Coturnix japonica: one gene and its partner. The protein of the gene in region 1 purifies or fractionates together with the protein of each later gene. This does not show direct contact. Links are inferred from orthologs where the notes say so. Each region holds a gene or a part of one and is shown on either strand. Other genes may lie near its edges.

Region 1 (9,429 bases):
TATCCTCTCTACATGGCTACACCAGAATGAATGCCAGGAACGAAGGCAACCCAGAACAATAACAGATTGTGTGCTCTCAATCTACAGTGAGCATCAATTGTTCTATCAAAACACTGCATCACAGAATCATTGAATGTTTTGGGTTGGAAGGGACCTTTAAGATCGTCTAGCTCTAAGCCGGGACACCTCCCTCTACACCAGGTTGCTCACAGTCCCACTCAGGCTGGCCCTGAACACTTCCAGGGAGGGAGCACCCACAACCTGTTCCAGCAGATCACTATCCTCAAATTAAATAATTTATTCCTTGTTGTCTAGTCTAAATCTACCCTATTCCAGTTTAAAACCATTTCCTCTAGTCCTGTTGCTACATGCTCTTTAAAAGTTCATCATCTTTCCTGTAAGCCCCCTTCAGGTGCTGGAAGGCCACTTAAGCCCCCCCTGGAGACTTCTCTTTTCCAGGCTGAAGAACTCCAGGTCTCCCAGCATCAACTCATAAGGGAGGTGGTGCTACAGCCCTCTGATCATCTTCGTGGCCCTCTTCTGGGCCCACTCCAACAGCTCAACTGTCTTCTTGTGCTGCAGGCTGCAGAACTGGACGCTACTCCTGGTGGGGTCTCACAGGAGCAGAATAGTAGCACAGAATCACCCCCCTTCACCTTCTGGTCAAACTTCTCTTAATGTAATCCAGGATATGGTTGGTCTTCAGGGCTGCAAGCACACACTGCTGGCTCATGTCCTTCTCCTCAGAGCTGCTTTCAAGTCATTCTCTGCCCAATCTGTATCCATCCTTGGAATTGCTCTTGCACTTGACCTTGTTGAATTCCATAAGGTTGGCACAGGCTCATCTCTCAACTCTGCCCTGGTCCCTCTGAATAGCATCCCTTCTTGCTAGCATGTCAACTGCACCACCCAGCTCAGTGTCATCTGAAAACCTGCTGAGGGTGCATTCAATCCCACTGTTCACGTTGCCTACAAAGACATTAAATAATACCATTCCCAGCGCCATTCCTTATTTCTCTGCATAGAAACGAGCTCAAAGCATGGAGTTAAAGCACCTCATCAAAAAGTCTGATAAGGAAGGCACACCAAACGTTTGTTTTGAAACAAAAACAGCATCAACTGCCTTTAGGTACTATACAAAGCCATTTTTTAAAAAGCCTAGCAAATTAGGCACTCATTAGAAACTGTGCTAGGTTACAAAGATGCTAAAGATACTTTGTCTGGACAACATGACGGTTTTTCTACAAAAAACACTTTGAGAAACATTGTAAGACAATCACTTCAAAAAACAAACCCAACGCCAAGTGTTAATTACTTGTAGTAATAAAATAAAGCATTAAACACACACCATTATTAGAGAAGATTAGTGTTTGGTGTTATGCTGTACAGAGCGGCATCAGCAACTGTTCAAACAACATGTAAATATTAACAAAACTTGACATCCAGCTTATAACCCCAAGAATTGTCCATCAGCCCCATCTGCCTTGAAGAAACAAACTAGTAGCCAACAGAACTGCTTAAAGCCAAGCTATCTGTCAAAACCCATACATTCTGATCGAGTTTGTTTTGAATACTCATAAATGGCTACTGATAAATACATTTAAAAGCTCAGACTGAAAGTTTCCATTTCAATTACAACAGGAACCTTACTACAGCTTAGTTCTGAAAAAGGATCTGAGGACAAGTCATCCCATCTGGAGTGAAATTTTTTGATCTCAGGAGTTCTGAGTTTATAAGCACACTGTTTTTATGAATAGCCACGCAACTTTTCAAAAGCACTGTAATATAAAGTGTGGGCTACTTTTTTGTTTCTTTTTGGTCATTTGACCAGACTGTTATGTCGACCACCTGATTAAACAAATCTGACCTACCCACACACAGTTATGCCCATCTTCATGCAGCGTCACTTGAAACCTCTCTAACAGCAGAAGGTGAGCATGGACTGAAGCACTGCACAAAACCAGCTCCCCCCCAAAAAAACAGTAAGAAAATTCTAACAAGATGTACTAACAGAAATGGCACTGGTTGAAAGAAAAGAGCAACAACTTTAACAATTGGGTCCTGATAATACATTTCAAGATTAAGCGTTAGTGAAGTGGCAAGCACAGAAAAGAGAATTCTTCTGTTCTACCTCAACTGGCCTGACCTCCACAACAGTGGGAAACAGAACCATGAACAGAAATTCATACAATGTAGCCTGCATGATGTATTAACAGACCCAAGGAAAAAATACAGTAACAGGCACTGCTGAGAGTACCTGTTATTCTCCAAAGATACAGTAGCTACTTCAAGAACAAATGTATCAAGCCCTGGCTAAATCCCACATAATACTATGCTGCAATAACCGATGAGAATGAGAGGAACAACATTTTACAGGCCTTGCATTAATTTAAGACATGATTAGATTGCTTAAAACAACACAACCACCACCTTCACAGCAGGTTTCTTCCTCATGCTTGAAGATAACACTGGGAGTCATATACCCATAACAAACAAGAAGAATAATTGTGAAGAATCAAATTAATTGATTTTTCTTTGGTTTTCTGGATGCACATTCTCAGGAAGTTCATGGTATACAAAGAAGCATTTTTAAGTCTGGGGAGACATACCATAGTGTTCATATGAAAGCCATCTCAAAGCACAAAGCTCAGCTCTCACACTTGCCTCCTTCATAATTCATCTGATCACATACCAGCAGACCTTTACTTTCTGTAGCAGATCTACATCACACTTCATCGATAAGTGAATAAAGAGGAAATTGGATTCACGTAGAATCAGCAGAAGTACAGTCAATAGAATAGAATCTGGAAGAACAAGGAACACTTCTACATTGTTGGACTCATTTGATTTTTCATTTAGAGAATAAAGCTATATTATCTACAAGACTGTTTTCACAGCAATGAGTTTATTACGTATACAGCAATGCTGTCCCAAACACTACAGTTCATGCAAATGGCTTTCTCTAAACATAACAGCCTTATATACACCGTGGTATTTTCTGCCCCTAATTTACAAAATTCCAATTCCAAGTTCAGGTGAGGATTAAAGTTAATGAAAGGATTTGCAATAAATAGATGGTACACAGATTCTTAAGGGGAAGAGACTACTCAAAGACCATCCGCTCAAACCTCTGCCTGCACCCCCAAGCCTCAAAACAGATCAGAAACAGGAAACCACAAAAATCTCTAAGAACCTGAAGTCAGCCTATGGCCCAAATAGCTATAAATGAAAACAAGCCACCGAGAATTCAACTTCATGCAAACCGATCCAGCCCAGTTCACAAGAAGCCATCTGGAACAGCAAGAAATCTAGATCACATTCTGCATGACCTGACCGAGTACCCCAATACTAGGGGTGTTGTGCACCATGGATAAAGTTGCTAATAAACACAAAAGAACTTCCTGCACAAGGTTCCCTGATGGCAGTGCTACGATTTAGGAGGGAGAGACAGCAGTCATGAATGAAGAACAGAGAAGTAGCCCTGGGGAAGTGGAATAAGTAGACAGAACACACAAAGGCTGGACAGCGCAATCAAGAGCTGCAATAAATTCCCACAATTGCTAAAGAACTGAACATCAAATGTAATACTTTCTTTTCAGAAGAATGTGCTAAGCAAGTTAATCCTCGCAATCTGCTACTATAAAGAATAACAGAATATTTGCCAAGCGAAGCATTTATAATTATTTATTTAACACAGAAAAAGCTTCAATGTCAATGTAACTGCATGTTGTGATCAGTCCTTTCCCAGACATCGGTAACTTTCCACAACCTTACCTGCAAATAAGGTGTCAAAAAGGGAGGGAGGGGAAGGAATTCAGCGCCTCCTGCCCACACATTTTTTTTAATCCATGTGTACATAATCTAACCTGGTAACATGCAAAAAGTTTTCCCAGAAATATCACAGTAATTCCTTTTGTACAAATCCTTTAGAAAGCTCCACCATGAGGAACCTAGAGAAGGATTTTGTCTTCTTAACTGTCTTCTGAATAGCGTTTTATTCTTCCCATATTTAAAAGTATGGCCTCAGATAAAGTCATTCGGAGGTTAAACATGGTAGTTTTATAGCAATTCAGACAGACTTTCTATAAGAAAACTAAGACAAATTCAGTGCTGGAAAACAGATCTCGAAATTATTTCACATCTTCATAGATAAATTTATTCCTACTGTTTGAAAATGTACGAGCTTTCTCAGTCTGTAACAGCGACAGCACTCCTGGTTTGGTGTGGCAGAACTCCTGCCTGTACTTCAGCAGTCAGCATCACTTCCCAAGACTTCCATCAATGCTCACTTTCAGCTGATCAGCTTTATAGTAGCACCATGAGCCCAAGGTTGCAGCGTGTTTCAGAAGGTTCAGCACAACCTACTTGCACAGTTACAGCAGCTCTATGAAACAGATACTGCTTCTAGCACTTTAAGACAGACCAAATTACCCAAAGAATGTCTGGCTTAACAAAAAATGAACTAAAACAAACCTACCCACACACTGGATTTAGTTGACCATTGCTATTACGTTCAGATTATGTCTGAATTGCCAACAGCTACCAACACATCCTATGTAAGAAACAGAAATATCTACAGTCACTCCTTTTTATCATTAACCAGTCAGTACACTCATCCGGGCAGAGAGATGTTAGACAAGGTGGAAGAGAAGGAACTGAAATTAAGTTACTCTGAATATATATACATATATATATACACACACACATATACACACACATATATATATTTTAAACAAAAAGCAATAGTCAATTTAGTTTTTTCATTCATTCTCTTGGCACGCATCCCTTACAGGGATATGAACTGTACACAGAAAAGGAAAAGAAACAGAAGTATTTGGAGGGGAAAAAACAAACGGAAGATCAATGAGTAAGGACAGATTCACAAAGGGAAGCATTCTCCCTGTTTAAGCAGATTCATGCAAACATAAGTCTTCTCTAACAGCAATAAACAGCCATATGGAGCTATATCAAATGGCAGAAGTGCAAAACTAATTCTTTTGGTAACAGAACATAAGTTCATTTCATAACCCTCCATGCAGTATTCCAAGGCCTCCCCTGTTGGGCTGTTCCACATATCAACTTTCATTTCCAGCCAATACATACAACCAAATGTAACACCCTTAAAAAAAAATAAATCACTACGTACAAAGAGTAGAGCACGCTACAAAACAAGACTTTGAGAATTAACACAGCTACACCAGACTGTGCAGATCCACCTCAACTAATTTCAGATGAAAAAGGCTGCTCCAGAGCAGAGCTCAGCAGCTCTCAGAAGCAATGAGAAGTGAACCACTTGAAAGACCACCTGACTTGAAAGCACAGCAGCATCCACACATACATATAAGGGATGCATTGGTATCAGTTAGTTACTCTGACATCACTAAACGCTGGTCGTTACTGTTAAGAAAAAACAAAACACGTTAAAAAGTCCTACCGTTTTTATAAAGGAATTTCCGCATTCACTATGTCATGTAATCTACAAGGCAAAGTAAGATTTACCATTTTTAACCTCTACTGATCAGCTTCAACTCCACACATTAAGCAGCGCTCACAAAATGGAAGAGTTTGACAATCTCAGACGAACGTAAACAACTGCCTGAAAGTGTGTTCCAGCATCACCCTGGGTCACACTGACATGTTTTACGTTCGGTTGTTTTTGCTACATAAGAAGCGCATTACCGAGCACGCAGGCGGTTCCCTCGTTGCAGGGGCAGAGGCCGCACAAGGAGGAGGCGGCCCAGCGGAGCCACGCCAGTGTCCTGTACCCGGAACGGAGCTCAGCGTTCAGCGAGAGGCCGCGAGCAGCCCGTGCCCAGCTCTGCTTCCCCGCAAGGCCGGGCCGAGCTCGGGCGCCCATCGCCTCACAGGGCCCCACCAGCGCCGGGGAGAAGGGAACGACCGCAACCACCGCCCGCCCCACCTCCGGGAAGCGAGGAATGGAGGCAGGGAGCGGCGGCGGCACGCAGGCCGGTCCCGCGCAGTGCGGCGCTGTGCCGGCAGCTCTGCTTACAGACAGCGAGCAGCAGGGCCGCTCCAAAAGCCCTCCGTGATCCCACCGCCCGGCAGCGTGTAGGACGCGGGCGGCCCGCCCCCTCACGGCCGGGCTGGGCCGGGCCCGGCGCTCGGGCCTAGTCCTTCCGCAGCGCGCAGCGGCCGCCAACACTCCGAGCCGGGCGCCGTGCAGCCCCGCGGCCCGCACTCACCCACTCCCTCCGTCCGTCCCTCACTTACCAGGTGGCTGCTGGTGCTCGCCATGGACCCGCCCGGCCGGCGCGGCCCGCGCTCCAGTCGCCCTTTAAGAGCCCAGCGCTCGGCAGCGCGGCCACAGCCAATGGGGCTCCAGCATCCCCCGGCCGTGACGTCACCCACAACAATGCCCCCCCCCGCTTGTAGGCGGGACTTCCGTCCGATTCTCAATTTCACTGGTCCGCCTAGTTGCCACTCACTCGCAAACCCGCACGGAGCGCCTCCCATCAGCCTCCGCGCACCGGTAGTGTGAGCATGCGCAGTTGGTGTGGGGATACTGCCGGCTTCACTTCCGGTTGGGTCCGTGTCGTCATGGCGCCGGGTGCGGCCTGCTCTGCCGGTAGCACTTGGTGCCTCAACCCGGCAACTTCCAGTCTGTGTGCCACGGACCCGAATACACAATACATGCGATTTCCCTTTAAAATCTGGCTTCCCAACCCGTGTTCTCAAGTCTCAATGTGTATTTGCTCACAGGAGTTGGCCAGATCCAGCCCGAAGCACTGACCCACATCACAAATGCTGAGGGTCTATGGGGCTGTTGTTGGAGTGTGGTGTGACAGCACATAGCAACAACTGTAATTCGTCAGAACATTATTGAAATTTAAGGAAATTTTATTTCCTTAAATTGAATTTTAAGGAAATGGTCAAAAGGGTTGTGCAGGGAAGGGCCACGTTGTTCAGTAAGCCACATCAGAATCTTCAGTGTTGATATATAATTAGATTCAAATAAAGCTGGGGTGGTTGGGCAAGGCAGAAATCCTGCAGCGTCCCAGTGGTAAACGACTGCAGAAAGCATTCTGCAGTATTAATGAATCCCAGAAGCCTGGCATACCTCTCATACAAAGAATAGCTGAGGGAAAAGAGAAGGCTCCAGGGAGATCTCATTGTGGCCTCCCAGTACCTGGAGGGAACTTATTATGAGGAGGAGAGAAATGGTTTTAAACTGAAAGCCCAGCCTTCCTCAATATGAACATCTTCTGCTTTTGCATAATTAAGTTACAAACCTATTTCTACTCTGGGAGACTATATGACCTCAACAGCATCACTTGGGAAACATCTTTGTAATTTTAAAGAATCATATATCTGTATAGATAATTCCCTCAGCGGTGCTGACTGCTCGCCTTTACCTGCCACATGACCTCTAAATTGAGATGGAGCTTAGGAAAGGCCTAATCTAGTTTTACCAACCTAATTGTGTAGAAGATGTGCCCTGCCATGGAAGAAGAGGTTGGAAATAAACAATCTTTAAAAGTCCCTTTCAACCAAACTATTCTATGGTTCTAAATTAAGGAGTCACTGGGCAGATTAGGGTAGATCAGAAAAAAAAAAAACAAACACAAATGTTTTAGAAATGAGTGTAAAATCTTACTGGACACATTGGAAGTCTGTGAAAACAGGACTCTTCCAGCAGAGGGCAATGGCAGGTTGGAGTGGGTGCTGCTAAGAAAGCATTGGTCAAGAGCAAAGGGCACATAACTACATCAAATATTGCGATTCTCACTTTAAAGCCAATCGTTTAGATCTCCATACTTGATTAATGATTCTCTCTTCAGAACTGCACTGGTGCCTCTGCCAGGATCAGATCTGTAGATTAGATTAAATTACTACTAAAATGACTATTTTTAATTCTTGCTGCTTTTATTGGCAGGAAGAATACGTGCATGAGTGAAAATGTGAGTGGCTCTATGAAGGACTATGCCTTCTTGGAGACTTGAGGGGCTACAGTGGTCTGGAAAGATCTGTGATAATGAAGACTTCTGTAGCACAAGGTTTGTGACTCACAGGAGGACAGCAATACAGGGAAGATGAAATGACAGAGCTGTGGATCTAGACTTGACAGTGTTCTGGGCAAACTGTAAGACTGCGGTGTGCTGAACATTCTCTGTTTCTTCTTTACACATTGATCAGATTTAACAAAAGTAGAATAAAAAGAGCAAACTGTTTCTCTTGCCTCTGGAATTACTTTCATCTCATCTGCTTAATCAGGAAAAGATTTATGGCTTTATTTGGCCATTGACTAATGGCTGACATAGGAAAAAAAGGTTGCTTCCACAGCTCCTTCTAGTTAGAGTTTGCAGATCAGTGATCTTATGCCCTGCAGCTTCAACATTTTTTCATGTTTCAGCCTATCAGACTCCAGTGTTCTACAGTTTCATTGTTGTTTAATGCATCAGAAATCATACTGTGAAGAGAATTCATCCTGAGTACATGACAGGTCACATCTTAATCTCACTTGTTGCTCTTTTAGATACCTATACTGTTGAGTAATGTACAATCTGACCTCTCTCATCTCTTTTTCCTGAAATGAGTATGCAGATAACTACACAGGAAAATGTCTGATGGAGATACAGTTTCTGACACTCATCACTGTGAACACGAATGAAGCAGAGGTGACACTGTGAACCAGAGATATGTTGGGTGGACAGCCAGCAGAACCAAGCTCATGGCCACATGCTAGGCACCATAGGATAGCTCACCATGCAAGTCCCTCTTGGCTTTACTAGCTGTAAAATATATCTTTACTAAGGATACTTACTTTTTCTTTTGGTGGCGGTAGCTGCAGCACTGGCTCAGTAGTTTGGTGTGTAAAATAAGGATGGCATTTAGTTCTTTCCTTTTTCTATGATGTTTTCAAGTCAACTTTTACTAATGATTTGTATAGTCAATATTTTCATAACTGTGGGGTTGTTTTTATTTTTGGACTTAAAGCTGTTTCCAAAGCTCTCAAATACCAACTTCCAAAAAACAGCTTTTGAATTAATTTCTTTATTTACTTCTAAATAATCACAGTGTTAGATCTTTTACTTTATTCATCTTAGCAGGTAAGGGAAAAACAAACAAACAACTACAAACTAAAACATATCCTTTATCATGGAATATTTTCAGTTCCTTTGTGGCATACAAACATCACCCAAGTACCTTCTCACACTGTTTAATCTGCCAAAACTCAACACTCAGGGAAGAAAGGAAAAAAGACTGGTGGCTTCGTTCTGGTGTGGGTGATAGATGTAACATGCTCTCAGTAGTCCCAGAAAATGAAAAACTTGACCAGAGCCCATGTTACATTTCCTTACTAAACAAAAATTCTCTGTTTTCCACTGGCACGATGTATATCACACTTTCCTGGAAAAACTGGACTTGAAACAGTTCAGAGATTCTGGGAGGAGCTGTGAAAAAACTCAA
Region 2 (8,805 bases), on another chromosome or scaffold:
TTGTAACCCACAGCTTTCTCAGGTAGATTTTTGGTTTGCCTGTTCTTTGGAGGCTCAAAGATATGTTACAATTATGTCATCAGAGGGTTTGTTGTTTTTTTTTCTTTCAGACAAATTCAGGCCTATTGGCCACTGGCATCTGGGTGATAACATGTGGGGCTTTTTTTAAGCCTGTCATGGGATGGATTTGTTGTTCCACTATGATCAGAGGCTAAAACAGAACTACCTGTGCAGACTACTCTGATAGAAAATTTCAGATATAATTTGAGAGGAAAAAAAAAAAAAAAGAAAAGAAAAAAAGAATGTATTCAATGGTTTCTCACAGTTCCAAGGACCATCTAAATAAAATTCTGATCTCTGAGAAAATTGCACTCTCAGTCAGCATCTCGTTTTATTGTGTCTTTGGGTGCTTTTGTAAGCCTCAAAAAAGGAGTTAGGTTGACCGTGAACTGTCGTATGGAGAATGGTCTATTTTCTTTTTTCTTCACCCCTCTGTGGCATTTGAGCAGTTTCTAACGTGGATGATTCAAAACACAGTCCTTCTTTTGAAGATGAGTTATACAAGAACAGGCTTCAGACTTCCTTAACCCATCTCAATGCTTCCAAGTGGAACCCAAAGGACAGAATGTACCACTAGACCTCACCCACAGCAGTATCTTTGTCTTTTGCCTTTTCCTGCGTTGAGCCTTGAGTCATGGATAGAAGACGGAGTGTATAACTCACCAAGAAATGCAAGTACCTCATTCAGCCCTTGGCAATCACCACCTCTTACCTAAGAGAAAGTAAATTAAAAAAAAAAGGAGTCTCATAGACTGGGACTGTTTAGATGCCCCTCTAGATATTTCACATGACAGTACAAGAATCTAATTCTTTTGAACAAAGGAAGAAGTCTTAAGTTCAATACTTTCCTGGGCAATGTACAACCTAGTTTTATTCACTTACAGAAAAGAATAATCTCCAGAGGGAAGCGAATCAGCATCCCCTTTTCTCCTTCTCATCCTCACAGCCTACACGAGGTACAAAGTGTCCTCTGGTTGTAGCAGTGATGAATTTTCCTCATACTGTGTTAAATGTGTCTCTCTCTACTTGATACTCAGTGATGTAATGTTCCTAGCTGCAAGAGACTTCCTACTCGAGTGGTTTTCTTGCTATGTAATTCTACTCTAAGCAAACAGATCCAAGATGACAACATGCTGACTCCTTTCCTTGGTATGAAAATTATTAGCTGCCACCAGGCCTATGGAGATAAACAGAAATTGTCAGCACCACTGTTACTGCCCTTGCAGGTTTGCAGGCAGCATTAACGTGGACAAATGTCAGTGTGAGCATGACACATTTCAAACTGAAAATTGGCTGAGGGCTTTTTCTAAGACCAAAAAAGGTGATGGTTTTCTGCTTTTCTTTTTCCCCCCTTTTTTCCTTCATTTTAGCTTAGTTTCATAGCCTCTTTATTCTTTATGTACATTCGTATTAATTTACCCAACTGTTCCATCATAAAATCATAAAATATCCCACATTGGAAGGGATGCACAGTGATAATCAAGTCCAGTTCCCCACTCTACGCAAGACCACTCCAAATTCCAACCCACTGTCTGAGCTGTGTCCAAACGCTCCCTGAACTCCAGCACTCGGGGCTGTGCCCACTGCCCTGTGCAGCCCATTCCATCCCACCACCCTCTGGTGCAGACCCTGTCCCTCACCCCCAGCCCCTCTCCTGTCTTCACTCCATGCCATTCCCTCGGGCCCTGTCGCTGTCACACAGAGCAGAGCTCAGCGCTGCCCCTCAGCTCCCAGTCAGGAGCTGCAGCCGCCATCAGGCCTCCATCAGCTCCTCTGCTCTGGGCTGCACAAACACAGGGACCACAGCTGCTGCTGTTTCATTCATCTTTCCCTGTAGGCCCTTCACCATCTTTCTTGCTCTCCTTTGGATGCTTTTTAATTAGTTTAAAAGATTTTCTGCTTAGACACAACTTGAAATGTAACCACTTCTGTTTTCAGCTCTGGCATGAAAGGTCTTAACTGAACCCTGGTCTTCTCTCCCTGCCCAGTAATTCTCAGTGCTCCTGCCCCAGGTGACTGTCCCTGACAGCATCCCAGGAGAGTGGCATGCTGTTTCCCAGTGTGTTTATTGTCTCTGGGTGCAAGTGATACTGCAGGTATTCATTTCCCCACTTCCCAAGTTCCCACTTAATGTGCCTTTTGGGTTGGATTGGAGCCAGGGCTTCTTCCATCCCCTTGCTACACCAGCCTTGAACATACTTCGCAACACTGACCGCCTGCTTCTCCAAGACCTTTAGCACAGAAAGCTACTGTGATATATCTTGTTTATGAGTATGCTTTTATTGTGCTGGGCACAACCTTGTACTCCAGTATAGTTAAGACTCTTCCTTTTATTCTTTCAAGTCTGACGCTATTTTATTATTTTCCTTTCCTTCCTCCTATGAGAGTTAACAGAGACAGGATATTTATGCATAACCTCCATTTATTTCATCTGCAGTTCCCTCATAGAATGTTAGTATGGTCATGGTGTGGTCCCTGATTGTACAACACTGTGTTGATTAAGAGTTGGGCTGGAAGTTTTTTGTGTGAGCTGGAGTGAGATAAGCCAGCTGCAAGTGTTTAGGTCAGGTATGTGCCACTCTGTTGATAGAGATGGAAGGTGTGAGATAGATGCTGGGTCTGTGCATACTCACCTTTTGCCAGGCTTGTTTCTGGTGGCAGTACTTCCAGAGGAAGTTGTCCAACAGCAAACAGATGATGCCAAAAGATAGCATGAAATGACTCTGGTAGGAAGAGTTAATCACTGGCTACTTGGCAAATTAAGAGTGCTAACTACCATGGGCTTGTACAGTAACATAAGCTGACACAGTCTTGATTTGCTGGCAAGTTTCCTCAAGCAGCAGGAGTGTGAAGGCGCACCTATCTGTGCTGCAGTTATCTGTGGGGCAGCTAATAATAGGCACATCACTGAGGACTATATAATATATTTCCACACCACAATCTAGTGCTATTGTGAGCACTGTGCAGATAACAGTTGGGAGTCCTGAAGAAATTGCAATGGATAAAAGACATTGTGATGGTAGAGAGATCTCCATTCTTTGCTCTGGACATGGGTATGGATTTAATTATTGTAGAGTTCTTGTGATGCGCTCAGTAAGAAGGCTGTATCCACTTGTAGTGTCTTAAGGCAATTAATGCCCAGAGCCATCTCTAAGCTGACCAGTTCCAGAAACCTAAATCACAACTATTGCCTGAAGCAAAGGTGACATTTAAAGATTTGGAGGAATGGTTTTTATTAAATGAGATTTGCCATTTCACAGAAAGAGGGGAGGAAAAAATGAAGTTCTTATACTCTCAAAGTCTGCTTTATCAGATCTTTAATCTGATCATCAGTTTTAATTTCCTTGACTGTGAAAGTCTTGTGTAATTTGCAGAAACTTTGACAGGTAAAGCAGGCTGAACTATCCATAGAACTCTTTATTTCTCAAAGAAAGCTCTTGAGGCAAAGACAGGAAAATGTTCCTGTTGGGTATCTTTCCTCAGCAGTGTTTTACAGCAGGATGGGTTTTTTTTTTCTTTTGATCTTTGAGTAGTATTTCTGGAAAACAATTGGCTCATGTTGTGAGGTCTTTCTGGAACAGTTGCATTGTAATTTCAGTATCTCTGGATGGTTCTCCAGTATTATTTCTGTGCCGGCAGTTTTCATACACTGCTTTTTTTTTAATTGTTTCAGTTTTACCTTTCTATCACACAGGAGTTGTCATAGCTATTGCCTTGTTAACAGCCTTTCTTTCAAATCCAAATGTATATAATTCTTGATCACGAGTTCAAAGCTTGTTTTTGTGCTTCATCTTTCAGCTTGTTTTCTCTCTCTAGAAAAATAAGATAAAAGCCGGTTTGGAATGACTGAGTCATACTGTTCTGTTGTAAGATATATTCCTATTTGTTAGGGATTACTTTTAAGAACATTTTCTAGATGTATTACCCAATAGTTATTTGGGCAACCGGTGTCTGCAATGAGCAGAACACATATTGAGATTCCCGGGAAGCGGATAGATCTATTATTTTCATCTCTCAGACCTTGCAATAATTTAGTCTATTGTCTGTCTCATCTGCCTCCCAGTATCACTAAAGGATATTTATTAGACGTATCCATTATCTTATTATAAAGGAGCCTTCATACTCCAACAGAGCTTTGAATGTGGAGGAAATGAAACGTAAGGTCTTCTTTAGGGATTTTTTTTGTCCTCTTAGCCTGCATTTAAAAAGAAAAAAGCTTTTGAATTATGCGAGGTTTAAAAACACGTGTATTCCTAGTGACTGAAGTATAAAATAGCAGCATTTCTGTAGATGGCAGCTACTTGTTTTCTTTATAGTTAAGAGTCTATTGGGTTTACTCTAGAGAAGTGATTTTTTTTGTTGTTATTGGAACAGTTTGTCACAGGGAAAATCTGTGCAGTTCACATAGCAAAAGTCAAATCGGCATTGGAGAGGTGTATTGACTGATTTATAACATGTAATTAACTGGCAATCATTGAACTATATGCTAAGAGTTAGTATCAGCCATACAAGTGATAACCACAGCATCAGCCACTTGAAAACAATACTGTGCAGCTACAGATTTCCAAGCCTCTTCTGCAGCTGATCCCAGTGCATCCCACATGCACATGCAGACTTGGATGCACACTCACATCTCCCTTGCAGGCCCAGAAGCATGCAAGCCCCCTCATCTGGGCACACAGGACCACTACCCATATGTCCTTGCTGTGTCTCTAAGGTGCTGCTCCCCGTGGTGGCCATGGGAGAGTTGGAGGTGGCTGCTGGATTACAGGGCCACATCCGACGCAGTTGTACTGGCTTCCACTCCAGAGTCTATTTTACTTCTATTTTAACAGGCATTGTTTTCTGGGCCATTTACCAAGGGTGGGCCATACGAGCACCCTACCCTCAGCATTGTAACAACAAGTGAAACTCTTCCAGACTTATTACAATGTCAATGAAATGTTGTCTGTTTTGCCTTCAGGTGCTGAGGAAGATGAGGACAGCACAGTGACAACAACATCCAGAATAGTTCCAAAGTTACCAACAACTAGTGATGCGTCTAGAGCTGAGACCACCACAGTGAAAATGCAGACCAAGATGCCTGCACAAACACAGGTACGTGGGTAGAGAGCAACACTGTTCCAAATAGTTCTTCTGCACCTCATTGTTGCCTTGATTTTATATATGAATTGCAAAAAGCATTTGGACATTTTTTATTAAATATTACTGCAACAATTTAAATGGATACAGAGCTGTTCAGTTTTCTGTTAGAAAGTCTGTGTATGACATCTTGTGAAAGAAGAGAAACATGTAAAACATGTATTTTTTGTTTAATGAAGAAAACAATTTTTAATAATAAGTTTGAATCTGAGCCATACCCTTCTTTTATGTCTTTCAAAGAGTTATTCAAAAGTCCTCCTTTCTGAAAGGAACATTTTGTTTGGTTTGGCTGTAGTTTGAATACTTTGTAGGTTCCATTTAGCATTTTGGTGTTTTCTGCTGTCACTGCAGGTGATGTTTTGCTCAGTTATCCTCAGCGGTGTTCTGAATATAGCATATTTGATGTGTTAATTGCAGAATTGTTATTCCGGTCAGAGGCTGTAATTCCTATTATACACAGGCAGTGTTTACTAGCTGATTGCTAAATATATTTTGGGGAGCTCTTGAAACTCCGGACAGTGATTTTTCATTCCATCACGATGAGGATTAGTTCCATTTTCAATATCTAGGACAGCTTTCTGTTCTCAAAAAGCATCCCATGTGTTGTGACTGTCATGGGATGCTTTTTGACCACAGAATATTGTGAAGCACGCCTGTGGGGCTGCCACAGTTCTGTGGCTGCCCGTGGCTGGCAGTGACAATGCAGTTCTGTGGTGATCCTGTCTGTAAGGGCTGTTTTTCTTTCTGTGCCACAGTCACCTGAAGAAATTGATAAAGAGGAAAGACCCGAGGTGGATTCCAAGAAAAAGAGCAATGAGCCAGGGGATGACACTGATGTGTTCACTGAAAAGCATTCCGAAAACCTCTTCCAGAGGACAGAAGTTCTGGCAGGTAAGGGTAGTTTGCCAAGGGTTCACCACCTCACCAGAAAAGGAACAAAGAATATAAAAGGCATTCACATCAAATAGCACAAACTCAACGTCTGTGTTTTCTTGTTGGGTTCTTGACACGTTTGGAGGGGAGTAGTCAGTGGTTGATTTGATGAGACTGAGACTGGCAATTTCTTTAATACCAAAAGCTGTTGCTAATTGATTTGACACCCACAAACTGAATACTCCCTACAGAGTAGCTGGAGCTTCCACAGCTCAGAAAAGGAGTTGCAACTTGGATTGATGCTTGTAGTGCAGAAAAGTATTTCACACCCACTCTCCTAGGAGCACAGCGTGGTCTAGTACAGATAGAACAGAGGTGCTCACAGCAGGGATGGGTGGGTGGAGAGGGATGTAAAGGGCCCATTTCTGTGTATGACCCAGGGAGGAAAAGGCTGGCCTCCTTTTATTTTTTCCCCAGTAGCTTTTCTACATGTGATTCATGTGATTTTTTTCTTCTTTTCCTTCTTTCTTTTTTCATGGTGTAAGACCTGTGCTTACTAACATACCTTCCTCCCACCTCCCGGGAGGGGTTGTTGGGAGCCATGGGTGGGAGTGTTAAATCACACAGTTTTGGACTTTATCTCCCCCAGAGCACTGAAACGTGAAACAGCATTTGTATCCACATCAGCAGAAACATTCGGGTTTGCTCTTCAAGTCCAGCTGGAGGTGTTAGTTTCTACACTCTAGCAAGTACATGATGAATGTAGTGTCTCTACTGCAGCTCCATGAAATGTTCTCTCCTATTACTCATCAATAGGGAGTCACTGAGTGAACACATGGAGAAATGGGATAACACATTTTTTAGCTGGTGCAACAGAGTAGTTCTTCTAAGGCTAAAAACATCAACTGCTGGAAAATCAGCTTGAAAAGCTTTTACATTTTAGTATTAAAAGTGAATTACAACTTTATGCTCTGGCAATATTGGCAGTTTTATTAGTCAAGCTTTTGATAATTTATTTAGAACCATGGGTTGCTGGATCACTTGCTTGCAGGTGAAATGCACTCCTAAATGATTCCCTCCATTAGAATAAACAGGGTTTCTCAGAATACAAATCAGGCTGCTCATCCTCAAGACAGTTGCAGAAAATAATGGCAAGCTGGTTGCGCGAGGTGAAAAAGATAGGTGGTTCCAGACCCGTTCTTCTGGCACATTGTGAATTTCTTTTTCTTTGCTTACAGCTGTTATTGCTGGCGGAGTTATTGGTTTTCTGTTTGCAATCTTCCTCATCCTGCTGCTGGTATATCGCATGAGAAAGAAGGATGAAGGCAGTTACGACCTTGGTGAACGTAAACCATCTAGTGCTGCCTATCAGAAGGCACCTACTAAGGAGTTTTATGCATAAAATTCCTACTTAGTGTCTCTATTTATGAGATCACTGAACTTTTTTAAATAAAGCTTTTGCATAGAATAATGAAGATCTTTTTTTTTTTTTTTTTTTTTTTTTTTTTCATTAAAGAGCCATCACGGCACCTTTATGATAAAATCCCATTGTATTTAAAACTTTACACGTATTCCTTTAAAAATGTAAAATTAAAACTTAACACTTGCAGCGTTCTGTGGATAACAGTGGCAAAGCATTTATTTTATAAGAACCATTGGTGTTCAACCGAATCATTTTTAAAACTTGATGCATAAATATAATGAAAACGATTGCTTTATCCTATGAGTCAATGGAAGCTGTTTAATTTTTTGTCAGCATGTCTCAGATTGATCTTACGAGTTAGCTTTTATTTCATTAATTTATCTGTTTCCAAAAGAGAAAAAAAAAAAAGAAGCCTTTTTGTAGTTGTCATGGTGCAATTTGTCTTCAGATAATTCAGATAACAGTGACTTTTAGTGTCAATGTAATTTTTCAGCTCTGTAAACTCTAACCTCCACTTTGTATAGATCTAAGTGTCGGATTATCAATTTTACACTTTGCATTGTTTCTCAGCGTACCTGTAGCTTCAGTGAGATTTGTAACAGCGAATTAACGTGTAAAATTGGATCATCACTACAAACTGTATGGTCGTGTTCTTACTAAAATCTCCTGTCAGGAAGATTTGAAGTAAGCTACTGACAAACCTAAGCAAACCCAAAGACTCTAACAGTATTTTGAGAAGTTGCTGCAGATTTCTATGGCCACTGTATTTGTTAATTATTTGCAATTTGAAGGTACATGTAGGGGTTTAAATTTTTGTTCTTTAAAAATGCATTTAAGTTGTAAACGTCTTTTAAAGCCTTTGAAGTGCCTATGATTATATGTAACTTGTCGCAGACTGGTGTTAATGAGTATATAACAGTAAAAGAAAATGTTGGTATTTTATAAGCACAGACAATTCTAATGGTAACTTTTGTAGTCTTACATGGATAGACATCATTGTAATTTGGGAACATAAACACTACTGAATAAATCATGTGGCCTAATACTGACAATTCCATTGTGATATACTTTTGTATGTTTTCTGTTTTGTGTCTGCCATGGTTATGTTTTAATGTCACCACGTTCGTCCAGTAGGTCCTCAAAATCCACCCGAAACAAAACCAAAAAGGCTGTTGATAAGGCTGATCCTCAGACCAGATTTACTGCCGAAGAGGCACAGAAAGCCTGGAATGTATAAGTGCTACACACGGTGTGAGGGTTCCGAGTCATTTGGCCTCTGTGTTACATTTAATGGCAGTATTGACGCA

Evidence for each region.
Region 2: the proteins of PDPK1 (region 1) and SDC2 purify together in Homo sapiens (affinity purification with mass spectrometry; 4 studies listed by BioGRID and IntAct, counting the BioPlex papers as one, with this or other methods). This does not show direct contact. The link is inferred for Coturnix japonica from reciprocal best matches to the Homo sapiens genes PDPK1 and SDC2.

The regions. Positions count from the first base shown.
Region 1 is NC_029529.1:7,223,197-7,232,625, reverse strand, and holds the start of PDPK1 (3-phosphoinositide-dependent protein kinase 1), read right to left. Parts: upstream 6,366-9,429; 5' UTR 6,256-6,365; coding exon 6,232-6,255; intron 5,969-6,231; exon of another isoform or gene 5,680-5,968; intron 17-5,679; exon of another isoform or gene 1-16. UniProt on the Homo sapiens protein: Serine/threonine kinase which acts as a master kinase, phosphorylating and activating a subgroup of the AGC family of protein kinases.
Region 2 is NC_029517.1:114,978,435-114,987,239, forward strand, and holds part of SDC2 (syndecan-2), read left to right. Parts: intron 1-5,023; coding exon 5,024-5,157; intron 5,158-5,957; coding exon 5,958-6,093; intron 6,094-7,313; coding exon 7,314-7,477; 3' UTR 7,478-8,805. UniProt on the Homo sapiens protein: Cell surface proteoglycan which regulates dendritic arbor morphogenesis.